Linked DNA regions of Coturnix japonica. The main gene of each other region encodes a partner of the protein of the gene in region 3 in a complex. Links are inferred from orthologs where the notes say so. Each region holds a gene or a part of one and is shown on either strand. Other genes may lie near its edges.

Region 1 (3,998 bases), on a different chromosome or scaffold from region 3:
ATGAGCAGGACTCCACACCCACCTCACTGCATTACCCTGCCAGAACCCCACTCCTACATCTAGTCTGAGCAACCGCAACAAGTTCCCATTCATGCTACAAGATCAGCAGATAGTCCCTGTTGTGCTGAAGGGCTTCTATCTCTGCTCAGTCACCTTCGTAAGACCCCACTCTGGACTGAGGAGGGGAAGAAGGGAATAGAACTTTTCATCACACTGCTAGTTGTTTTAAAGCAGCTTGAGATTATGATATTGGATTTAGGAGAATTAGTTTATTCTACACTGCTTAATTACAAGAGCTGGAACTCTTAGTCCTGTAGCTCTGTGACCTGCTGGTTCCACAAGCCAGGCTGCGGAAGGTGCTATTTCAGCAGGATCACTTAGCAGCAGCATTCTTCTTCAATCACTCCAGCTGACTTTGCTCGCTTTGTTTTGGCCTTTGATTTCTTCTTCTTGTTGGGAATTTTGCTGCTTATAATGAAACAGCTTTTGTCCTGAGAACAAAAAAAAACAGCATTCTCAAGTCTGGTTTGGAGACACTTGAAGTACCAATTTATTACTAACTTCCTTTAGGAAGTTTTATGGACGCTTCAGAGAACTGCCCAATTTCCGCACATCCCAACATAATTCCAAAGAGCTCAGACTTCTCTCAAACCAATTTCCTCTTGTACTACACACCAAAACCACACAAACTGGTTAATTCCAGATCCAAGCTCAAGAATTAAGTACTCAAAGCATCATCTGTTACTTATTTAACACCTCAAAAGAGAAAACAGGTTATAGTTTTCAAATTATGGATGTTTACTCACCACTACTCTGACATCAAAGTCTTCTGGATTATCAGAGCCCAAGCAGTTATCATCGTCATTGCTGAAAGGCAGGAAATTCAAATCAAATCTGTACTTCTACAGTAGCGCAGCATAAACAAGCTGTTCTCCTAATGCAGCACCACTTCCTCATAATGCATATGGAAACGCTACAGCTTACAGGTCTGGGATGCTCCCACTTCTACATGAGGCTACACTGAGAGCCTGTGGAACAAGATCCTTATCTAAAGCCATGAGCTGTTACTTATTTTCTCTCTCTGCTCTTTTAAGGATGAGGAGAGAGCACACAACACAGCAGTGCTAAGCCAACAGAATCCATTACTGAGTTACAGAAAAATCCAAGAGGTATTTCACCAATTAATATAATGCACGTGCCAGACAATAAAGACAGCAATGCTGAACACACAGACTTTAAGTTGAGAACAAAACAGCAACTTTTATACTACTGAAAATGAACTTACTTTGTCTCCTGGATAGGAGAAATGGGGCCTTTGTCATCTAAATATTTATGTTTCCGCGCTGTCAGACATTCCCTTTCTAAGTCTTCATTTGCTTCAAGGGATTTCAAAGCCTTTTTGAGGTGTTCTTCAGCTTTAAGCATTTCAACATACTGGAAATATCCCTTCGCAGCTGCTTGCTGCAAAAAAAAGGAATAGATCTTAAATACAAACAAAGAAATGAACCATTTATATAATCAACCAGACTGTAACATTAAATGACAGCCTTAGGTCAGCTGGTTCTCTCCCACAAAACACAGGGCTCACCTCATAGCTAAGAACCATATTTACGGGAATATGTTTCCTCCCATAATGTTTTTCAACAAAAGGGAACTGAAAGCCTGGATCCCGAAGCCTTCTCCTTCGCTCCTGAGGCGGGGCTGTCATGGGCCGATTCCCACCACGCTTCTTTGGGGGTTCCGAGCGTCTCTTTGTCTTCCGTGAAACACCGCTCCTGTATCTTCGGTGCGCAGCAGTTTTAAACTTCCTTCCTCTGAAGTGATAGGCAAAAATGGCTTTCAAATCGAGCTTGGATTTCCTCCTTTGGGAGGGTTCAGGTGGCCTCACCGGGCTCTCAGGGAGCAAAGAGTCAGGACTTTCACCATCAGACACTCGTGCATCAGCTCCTGCTTGTTTCCTTGAAGGCTGCGATCTCCTCTTTTGCTCCGCAGAGGGAGCAGTGCATTTCCTAGAGCGTTTGCTGCCCCGAGCAGCTGAAACATCACTGAAAAAGAAACGTGTACATTCAACAGAGCACATACGTTTATGAGTCTTGTTCGTAAGTGATTCTAAGGAACCAGGTAACTCACATTTCTGAATCGCTGCTATCCACCTCAGATGAAGATGTATTTGTACTACTAGTCTCATCTGAAGACTCCTCAGGAGTGGCGTCCTTCTGCCTCGAGCACAAACGTCTCTTCCTTGCATTCACTGCACGCTCAGGTATTTTAGATCTTTTTCGCCTCTGAGTGGATACGAGACTCTGAGCATCAGGATCATCAGAACAAGAGGTGTGGGATTCATCTGTATCACTCATGTTTTAATCTGCCCTGAAAGAAATTAAATATGTTTTACCCCAGGCAAAGCTTTTCACATCCAAGGAACGTATGTGTCTCCCTCACAGTAGCCCCCTCCCGCCCACCATCCCGGGGCGGACATTTTGCGCGGTTCCCGCCGCTCTACCACAGCCCCGGGCCGCCATGAGGAGCCCATTTCCCACATCCCACCCGCCCCAGGGCCTTCCTTGCGCTCCGTCTAGGAATCGCTCAGCGACAGGATGTGCTTTGATTCTACCCCAGCCTCACAGCGGGTCCTCACACGGCGGATGGCAGCGGATTCAGCGCACCGCCATCACCAACCCAACACTCACCTCACGCTTCACCTCCGGAAAGGGCGCGCAATGGCCGCCCCCGAGCTTAAATAGCGCTCGGCTCTCGCGAGAGCAGGACGGGGCGGGGAGTGCCGTGAGGGGGGCGGGGATGGGCGGCCGCAGGTTGTGGGCATTGGCTGCGGTTCCCGCTCGCTGTGGGTCTCCAGAGGGTGGCTCCTGCAGGTTTGGCTCCGGGACTCTTTTTAGACTCTTTTTACCCTCGTTTACGTGGCCTGAATTTCCCTTCTCGCTTCTCTGCTGAGTTCATCTGCACGTTGGCGCTGTCCCTGTTGGCTCTGTGGCTCTGGCTGTGCTTCCTTCTCCCCCCAGCCCCCCGCTATGAAGCGTTTCTATCCAGCCATTAACTTCTCCTTTCCGTTTTCTGCCCTTTCCTGCTTGGAAAAGAAAAGCCGCAGTGTCTCGACGTGTCGGTTGTTTCCTGCCATCCCGTTTGCAGCGTTCCTGTGACAGCTTCCTTCACAGAAGGGAGAATCGCCCATAGAAGCGGACGAGCCCCCAGCTAAGATGGAAATCACTCTACATAGACAGCTTGCTTTCTTGCTCTATTGCTTGTTACAGGCAGAACTTGAGGTAGCTGAACTTTGAGCTCAAAGTCTCGCTTTTTCTTCCATGAAAGGTTCCTATTTTGTTACGTGCAGCAGGCGTGTGCCTAAGGAGTTAATGATTTCTGGGGCTGGTTTATAGGTAGCATGTAACCAGCTGCTTGTGCCTGGAGCTGCTGGTTTGCCCTCGTAGCAGGTTATGCTGTTGCATGACTGAAATATAGCTCGTTTCAAAAGAAGCTCCAACATTTCTGTTCTGAACAAAGCTTGCTGTGAAAGGCTCTGAGCTGATATAGAGTCCAGTGCTGTACAACTTGCTGCTGCTTTGGTGCCTTTGTTTGGCTTTGAGATGCACTACAACCTTCTTCCACTTTGGAAACACGTGCCTATAAGAAACTGGGAGCCAAGGTTGAAAGTCCATCATAGCCAATGCTGGAAAAGTAAACATTAAGGTAGTGAAGACCGGGTAAGGCAGTTATTGTGCTTAGAAAAGCGTGGCTTTGGGTTTACAAAGGACAGATAACTGACCTGTCCCTTGAATTAGGTTCAGCGTATTACATATTTTGTCTGTACTGAGATGGAAGTTTGAGGACTAACAGATGTAATGCTCTGAAGCAGCTGCAGAGCTGGTAGGCACACCTGCTTCCAAAGCACATAGAATCATAAAATCACCAAGGTTAGAAAAGACCTGAAAGATTATTCAGTACAACCATCCACATATTACTAATAGCTGCCACTAAACCAC
Region 2 (4,282 bases), about 12 Mb from region 3:
CCAGTGTCATTATAGCAATCCCAAACCCGGTCAAAGCACAAATGAATCACTGAGACTCGCCATACAATGATAGTGTCCGAGGTCTTCATCCCATGCAACAGGATGGCCACCAGCGTGAAGACCAGCATGAGGGGTCCGTAAAGCTCACCTGCAATCTTCTACATGTAAAGAGAGAGATGAGGCTTAGTTAGTGCTCCTGTCTTCCAGGCTCTCCACCCTGAGAGACATAACGAGCATCTTGGAGACTTTTATCACCCGAGGAGCATCTGCAAGGCCACTGCTGACAGAAGCCACACAGAACAGACTGTGATGAGTCAGAGTGGTGTTCAACAGGATGCAGAAATGGGCAAAGTGAGGTCTAGAGTTCTACAACTGTACCAGCGTTAAGGGTAGCAGGAAGGTAAAGGCAGCGCTGGCACAGGCTGTGCAGGGCAGCGGTCACAGCAGTGAGCTGGCTGGAGTTGAAGAAGCATCCGGACAATGATCTCAGCTATATGGTCTGATTTATGGGTGGTGCTGTATGGAGCCAGGTGAGCCTTATGAGTCCCTTCCAACTCAGGATGTTCTATGATTACAATTCTATGAGAATGGGGTTTGGAACAACCATAGGAAAGGGTTTACTGATACTTTGAGGGAGGTGAACATCTAACAGACTTGGATCCTTAATAACAGGCTAATTACATCTGAGGGGTCTCTGTGGAACAGTCACTCAGGCTGTGGGGTCTGGTTCAGTGAGAGAGAACTCACCTGTGGGAAACTGATCATCTTGACGGGCACCATGGACTCCAGCAACCTGCATTACGGCACAGCGGGGAACGACATCAGGACAGTCATTAAGAAGCAACAGATCCCGTGCACCCGCTGCCCTGCCCACCTGGTGCGCACTTGGACGGGCTCCACGTCGAAGTATGGCCGCAGGATGTCGATGTTGGCGTAGAGGCTGAACGCTTTGGACGCCTGTCGCTTCCCCACCTGCCACATCTGCGGACAGAACGGTACGTGCAGCGGCGGGGCCGGGGCCGGCGGGGCTGTTGGCGGCTCGTGAGCCCACTCACCTGGTCGGCCACCTGCCGGCCCAGCTGCCCCTGCAGCCCCTTCATGCCCAGGAACTCGCCGTCCTCTTCCCCGCCGGCCCCCGCCTCGCCCTCCGCCTCCTCGTCCTCCTCCTCCTTCATGCGCTGGTGCATCTCCCCCATGTCCTCGAAGCTGGAGCCCGACGTGTCGTCCATGTTCTCCATGTCGATGACGGCCGAGCCGCCGCCCTGCTCCGATGCACGGATCGTCAGCGCCCGCTCGGGCCCCTCTGTCCCCCCCCCCGCGGGCCGGCCCCACCTGCACGTTGTCCTCAAAGCCGCCCCACTCGGCGGTGCCGCTCCTGCCGCCCGCCGCGGCCATAGCGCCGGTAACGGGGGACGGCAACGCGGATGTGACGGTCCGGCCGCTCCGTGTCTCGCGAGAGCCGTCAGTTCCGCATGGCCGCCTTACGTGCGGCGGGGCGGGGCGGCGGCGCGTCCTTCCGTCGGCGATGGCGGCCCGGCGCGGCACGGACGAGATGCGGGAGCGCGTGGTGCTGGGCGAGTTCGGCGTCCGCAACGTGCGTGGGGCGGCGGGACGCGGGGCGGCTCCCGCATCACCCCCCGCTGCCTCACGGGCTGCGCCCCCCGCAGGTCCACACCACTGACTTCCCAGGCAACTACCCCGGGTACGACGACGCGTGGGACCAGCGGCGCTTCGAGGAGGTGAGTGGGAGCTGATGGAGATGATGGAGCTGATGGAGCTGCTGCTGCGGGGCCCCTTGTTCGGCTCCGTCGTGACGCGGCGCGGTTCCCGAGCAGGGGTTCCGCGTGGACGTGGTGCGGGAGGAGGACGGCGTGCTCGAGTTCGACATGGTGGGCATCGACGCGGCCATCGCCAACGCGTTCCGCCGCATCCTGCTCGCTGAGGTACCGCGGGGCTGGGAGACATGACGAGTGGATGGTCCCCGTGCGGTGCCCTGCTTGGCGGCTTATCGCCTCGCTCTGTCGTCCCCCCGAGGTGCCGACCATGGCTGTGGAAAAGGTGTTTGTGTACAACAACACGTCCATCGTGCAGGACGAGATCCTGGCGCACCGACTGGGCCTTATCCCCATCCGGGCCGACCCGCGGCTCTTTGAGTACAGGAATCAAGGTGAGGGGCTCGGGTCGAACAGCGGTGGGGAGGGTGGAGCCCATAACCAGGAGCTGGGGTCACACCGTAGGATCATGAAGGCCATCAGGTCCAACGATCCCACAACATACAGGGACTCCTACATCTGACCAGGTGCTCAGAGTCCTGCCCAGCCTGGCCTTGTAAGTCTGCAAGGACAGGGCATCAGCCGCATCTCTGGGCAGCCTGTTCCAGTGCCTCACCACCCTCATTTTCACCACTCTCACTCAGTAATAGACTTTTTCTTTATCTCTAAAGTAAATCTACCCTCTTTAAGCCTCAAACCGTTTCCCCTTCTCCTATCACAGCAGACCCTGCTGTAGAGTCTGTCCCTTTCTTTCTTGCATGCTCTTCCTAGGTGCAGAAAGGCCGCTTCCAGGTCTCCCTGCAGCTTTCTCTTCTCTAGGCTGAGCAGCCCCAGCTCTCAACCCATCCTCGTAGGAGAGATGTTCCATCACTGGGTCATTCATGTGTCCCTCCCCTGGATACACTTCAACAAAGCAGAATTCACTTCCATAAAGATACTGTTTTGCCATTTCCAGGAGATGAAGAGGGGACGGAAATTGATACTCTGCAGTTCCAGCTGAAAATAAAATGCAGCCGGAATCCTCAGGCAGCCAAGGAATCGTCTGACCCAAACGAGCTGTATTTCAATCACAAAGGTGAGAGCTCCTTGTGCCTGCCCTAAAAGTAGGTGCAGCTTTCTGCTTTTTCTCTTGTTCATTTTCTTCTTTCTCTCTCTTGGTGTTTTGCCTTGTGAGCAGAGACAGCTCATTTCCTCACAGTATACATAGCTTGCTTGTGCCATCTCCTATTCAGGTCAGCAACCTGTTTTCTGAGGCAGCAGCTGGCTGATGCTCGTGGTTTCTTTTGGCAGTGTACAGTAAGCACATGACATGGGTTCCCTTGGGGAATCAGACAGACCTCTTTCCGGATGCTGACTTCCGACCTGTCCACGACGACATCCTTATAGCACTGTTGAGACCTGGGCAGGAAATAGATGTGCTCATGCACTGCGTCAAGGGTGTAGGTGAGTGCTGGGTCTGAGCTGGGGAGTGGGTGTGCTGGTGCTTGGACTCGAGCACAGCTGTGTGATGGGAAACACTGGAGAACTAGCTTGACCCCAAGGCCTGTCCTCATCCTTAATTCTGAACTCTTTGTGCAGGTAAAGATCATGCCAAGTTTTCTCCTGTGGCCACAGCTAGTTATCGACTGCTTCCTGACATCACTCTCCTGCAGCCTATCGAGGATGAGGCAGCCGAGACGTTACAGAAGTGCTTTTCCCCTGGAGTCATTGAGATCCAGAACGTCAAGGGTACTTTCTTTCCAGCTGTAAAGTGCCTCGTTCCTAACAAGTCTTAGCAGTGACTGAATAGAGACAGTAGAGATTGTAGTCAAACCTTGTTGGGAAAATAACACATTGCGATGTTGTCTTGCTGATCAACAACAGTTGGTGCTGTTTTGAGCCTGGTTGTAGTGGCTGAGTGGCTGTCACACACAAATGTTTTTAGCAGTGAACTGAGATCTCCCTGAAATGCTTATGTGTTGCATGCCTGTCTGTAGAGCCCTGTGCTACTGTTAGGTGTCTGGGTAGCGAGCTTGCTCTTTGTAACAGCTGAGCACGGGGAGGACTTGTGTCCTGCCCAGGAGCACATACAGGCTTTGTGTTTGGCTTAGAACTGTTCGAGGAAATGAATTCTGCCAAGCTGGAGTTTCATGTTAGGGATGTGCTAATTATATGTGGCTTTGCTGCCTCTGCTGCTTGAGGGGTAAGTACTTTTTGTGACCCCAAGGTGCTCATCTGCTGCCGGTGCCCACCTTGTTTTGTCTTCTCCTTTTAGGAAAGAAGGTGGCAAGAGTAGCCAACGCACGGTTGGACACGTTCAGCAGGGAAGTCTTCCGACACGAGGGTCTGAAAAACCTGGTGCGCCTGGCCAGGGTGCGAAATCATTACATCTGTAAGTAGCCTGTTTTGTGCAGAGCAGAGTGCCCAGCCCGATTCTGCTTTGTACAAACAAGCAGGGGCTGGCCAGTGTGCATACCTTGGTCTCAGTCTTTCCCTTCTACTTGGCATCGTTATTCTTCCTATGTTTGTAT
Region 3 (3,315 bases):
CCTTGTAGGTACACCACTTCTTCAAGATAGTTCTTAACTAGGAAAGCTAACTCTGTGGCATTCTTTCATGTTTTCATAGGGAAGGATGGATTTGAAGACTTGTCTGTTGAACAGGAAATGAACAGTCGCTTTCGGAAGGCAGCAGTGAGCTTAAAGGAGATCATTAAAATACCTGGAATCTGGGATCTCTTTGTGAAAGCCTATGTGGATGTAAGAGTGTATTTTATAGGTCTCTTCCTTTTGTGTTTGCCTGTCTAATTTTCATTTAGATACAAGTCTGTAGTTCAGCTGTGTGTGTGGATGACAAGTAGTTTAAAAACAACCTCTGGATTTGATTTAGGCATGTCTGTAGGACTGCAGGGCCTGCGTAGTGTATAAAAAGGGCTTTATCTGTGAGCTGCCAAGGAAAAGAGGCAACCAACTTGCACATTCTGTTTTCCTGGTGCTAGCAGAGAAATTGGAGCACAGCTGCTTTGTTTAAATTCCTGAAAGCAAGTTCTCTTTTTGGCAGGACGATGTTTTTCTGGTGGTACTAAATCTTGGAAGCCAAACATGCGGTCCCTCTGTTTTTTTGGTGGTTTTTTTTTTTTTTTCTAAATATCTGCTCACAAATTTTAACTAAGAAGTGAATCTTAGAATTGGAAAGGTTCACTCTAAGTGCAGATACACTCAAAGAAGTCAGAGTGTTTCTTATGGAATTTTACTAGATGCTGACAGCTGCCAAGTTCTCCGAGTTCTCTTCAAAGACGTGGCAGTCTGCTTCCATTTTTTTTTTTTTCCATTGAGGAATGATGGTGATTCTTTAACAACCAGGGAAGTGCTAATGTGATTTTTCCTCTGTAGCTGCTTCTGTGTGTGAATTTTTAGTTAATTATGTTAAGAGTAACCAGTAAAATTAAAATACTTCATTATAACTCACATCCAGTTTGCTATGCTGCTAGATACAAATGGTGCTGTTGGGTAGTTCTGTAGCAGCCTAGAATGAACTGTAAGTGTTTAATTGCTAATGTGAAGTGAACTAATGACAGGCTTAACTTCTTAGCTGATGGAATTCTACGGAGACCACCAAGAAGCTCGTGAAGTATTAACGGATTATGCTTACAATGCAAAGTTTCCCACAAATCCCAACGCTCATGTTTACTTCTATCAGTTCCTAAAGAGACACGGTGAACCAAAGAAATCACTCATATCTGCTCTCAAGGTATATATAACATATAAATGCAGTCTGTGGTTGTTCATTTTGCATAGTGGTCTGTTGGTTTAGTTGTCTCCTGTTGTAGTATTTACCTTATTGTATTTTTTTAATGGGAAGCAAAGGGTTGGGGTGTTCTAATGGGTGGAGCAAATAGGATCCCTTACTGTCTTTGTTCTACATGTGTAATTGATGCACCGTAAGGTCAGTAAACAAGCTCAGATCAATTTTCCATGGCTCAGGAAGTACATGTAGGTAAACATGCATTAATTTCCATTGTAGTTTGATCTTTACAGAGTTGAATAAATGATGAGGTGCTTGCTTTTTTTCACACACCAATCCCACCTCGCAGTTAGTTTCATTGTTCTCAATAAGCAGTTAACTTAAGGTTCAGTAGAAGTTTACTTCTACTGACTGTTAGATAAAGCCCTGCTGCATCATTGCCCTTTGTGTAGCTGCTTTAGCTTCCCCCTTTTGTTGCCCTTGCGCACTGATAACTTTTCCAATAATGTTTTTGAACCTCTTTTGCCACTTGATGGCACTAAAATGCTTTTGTTTGGGTAAATGGTTTTAAAACAGCTTCATTGAGTTTAGACTTGGATCGTGGCCGTTATATGTAAAGTTTCACCTTCACAGTGTGTTATTTATTTTTCACATTAATTTTATAGGCTTAATTTTATAAGATAGTGGCAAATCTGAAAACTGGTCTGATACATCCTGCGAATGCACAGAGCAGATGGGAGCTGGAACTGGGCTAGGGGTTGCTATCTGAAAAGAAGACACTGGATATAGGCTGCTGCTGGAAACGTTGCAGTTGTTGCAGGGTTTTTCAGTAGTCATGAGGGCATTTCATCTGTATTATCACCAAGCAGTGTTACAGATGTGCAGAATAGCTTTCAGTCGTCATTATTTGTATCAAGACAATTGGGTACCTGATTGCACAGTTTTCCTACAATACTAAAGAACTCTGCAGACATTGCTGCTTTGGATTTGGTAGAAGCCTTCAGAAGCTTTTACATCATTTTAATGTATGTTTTGGGTGTTGTTTTTTTTTTTCCCAGAGCTTGCATGATATTGTTCCCTCTCACGAACTAATGATAGATTTTAATACTATGCTTCAAAAATCAAGTAAGTCTTTAAATATATTTGTTCTTTTCCTTTATGTTAATCTAGAATATTATGAAATTGTTCTAATTTGCACTGAAGTAGTTGTGCTTATTAAAAGAAAAATCCCAATGTGACTTTCTGATCACAGGAACCTTCAGTGCAGATGAGTTAAGTAGGTATTTACAGGCTGTGTAAACAAATGCATGTTGAAGTTTAAAGGCTGACCAAGCAGTAGGTTGTAATGCACAGTCAGGACCTCAAAAATGATTTGTTTGGAGGTACTCTAGTCTGAATGCTCATTTCACTATTTCTGAGGTACACCGTTCTAAAAGCTAAACTCAGTATTTCCATTATGGTACCTCTTTTCTGGAGGAGCTGAGATGGATTTATGCATTGGTTTGCTATTTATCAAAAGAACAACATCTTAAGTGAGTTTTTTGGAGACAGTTTTGGAGACTGCTTTTCCATGCTGATCAATTGCTTTCCAAAATGGGCATCTTCTTGCAACCTGGTATGTTCTAGCAAGTCAGCAGATGGATGGAATGTCTTGGAATCAAATTTATCCTCTTCTGTTGTTCCTCTTTGTGAAAAATAAAAATTCTTTTGGCTGAAACCTCCCTTTTTCTGTTCACACATGATATGCTTGTGAAATTCCTGTAGCTCTTGAAGACAATCTGATTTTTGAAGTAGTAATTTATACTGGTAAAGATTTCCAGCTTTTACGTGCTGTAGTAGGTCACTTTTAAGAACGCCTTTGGTATATTGGCTGCTGTTGTGAAATACCTGTTTTATTCATATCAGTCCAATTTCTTTGTTTTGATATCTCAGCACTTGAAATGTTCCAGGGCGCTGTGTTCTCTTCCCACAGGAAGAACATGTTGAACAACAGCACCGGCTGGAAGCACTGATTACAACAGCAGCAACTGTTGTAAGGAAGGCAGTGTGGGTTAAGTGAGTGGTCTTGTGTGCCTCTTTGAGTCAGCAGCATTTAAGGAGGGTCTCTGCAGTGAAGTGTG

What was found. Proteins that work in one complex are often made in the same cells at the same time.
Region 1: TAF1A (region 3) and TAF1D share a complex: the UniProt entries of both Homo sapiens proteins name them as parts of the transcription factor SL1/TIF-IB complex. The link is inferred for Coturnix japonica from reciprocal best matches to the Homo sapiens genes TAF1A and TAF1D.
Region 2: TAF1A (region 3) and POLR1C share a complex: the UniProt entries of both Homo sapiens proteins name them as parts of the pol I pre-initiation complex. The link is inferred for Coturnix japonica from reciprocal best matches to the Homo sapiens genes TAF1A and POLR1C.

The regions. Positions count from the first base shown.
Region 1 is NC_029516.1:166,173,042-166,177,039, reverse strand, and holds the start of TAF1D (TATA box-binding protein-associated factor RNA polymerase I subunit D), read right to left. Parts: upstream 2,801-3,998; 5' UTR 2,691-2,800; intron 2,371-2,690; 5' UTR 2,358-2,370; coding exon 2,131-2,357; intron 2,046-2,130; coding exon 1,589-2,045; intron 1,462-1,588; coding exon 1,286-1,461; intron 868-1,285; coding exon 807-867; intron 492-806; coding exon 378-491; 3' UTR 1-377. UniProt on the Homo sapiens protein: Component of the transcription factor SL1/TIF-IB complex, which is involved in the assembly of the PIC (preinitiation complex) during RNA polymerase I-dependent transcription.
Region 2 is NC_029518.1:27,798,784-27,803,065, reverse strand, and holds the start of POLR1C (DNA-directed RNA polymerases I and III subunit RPAC1), read left to right. Parts: upstream 1-1,482; 5' UTR 1,483-1,525; coding exon 1,526-1,594; intron 1,595-1,667; coding exon 1,668-1,739; intron 1,740-1,835; coding exon 1,836-1,943; intron 1,944-2,034; coding exon 2,035-2,167; intron 2,168-2,727; coding exon 2,728-2,847; intron 2,848-3,062; coding exon 3,063-3,215; intron 3,216-3,350; coding exon 3,351-3,500; intron 3,501-4,026; coding exon 4,027-4,143; intron 4,144-4,282. Other genes in the region: protein YIPF3, read right to left, coding at 66-158, 748-793, 875-981, 1,056-1,262, 1,333-1,395. UniProt on the Homo sapiens protein: DNA-dependent RNA polymerase catalyzes the transcription of DNA into RNA using the four ribonucleoside triphosphates as substrates.
Region 3 is NC_029518.1:15,722,394-15,725,708, forward strand, and holds part of TAF1A (TATA box-binding protein-associated factor RNA polymerase I subunit A), read left to right. Parts: intron 1-79; coding exon 80-210; intron 211-1,042; coding exon 1,043-1,201; intron 1,202-2,253; coding exon 2,254-2,320; intron 2,321-3,315. UniProt on the Homo sapiens protein: Component of the transcription factor SL1/TIF-IB complex, which is involved in the assembly of the PIC (pre-initiation complex) during RNA polymerase I-dependent transcription.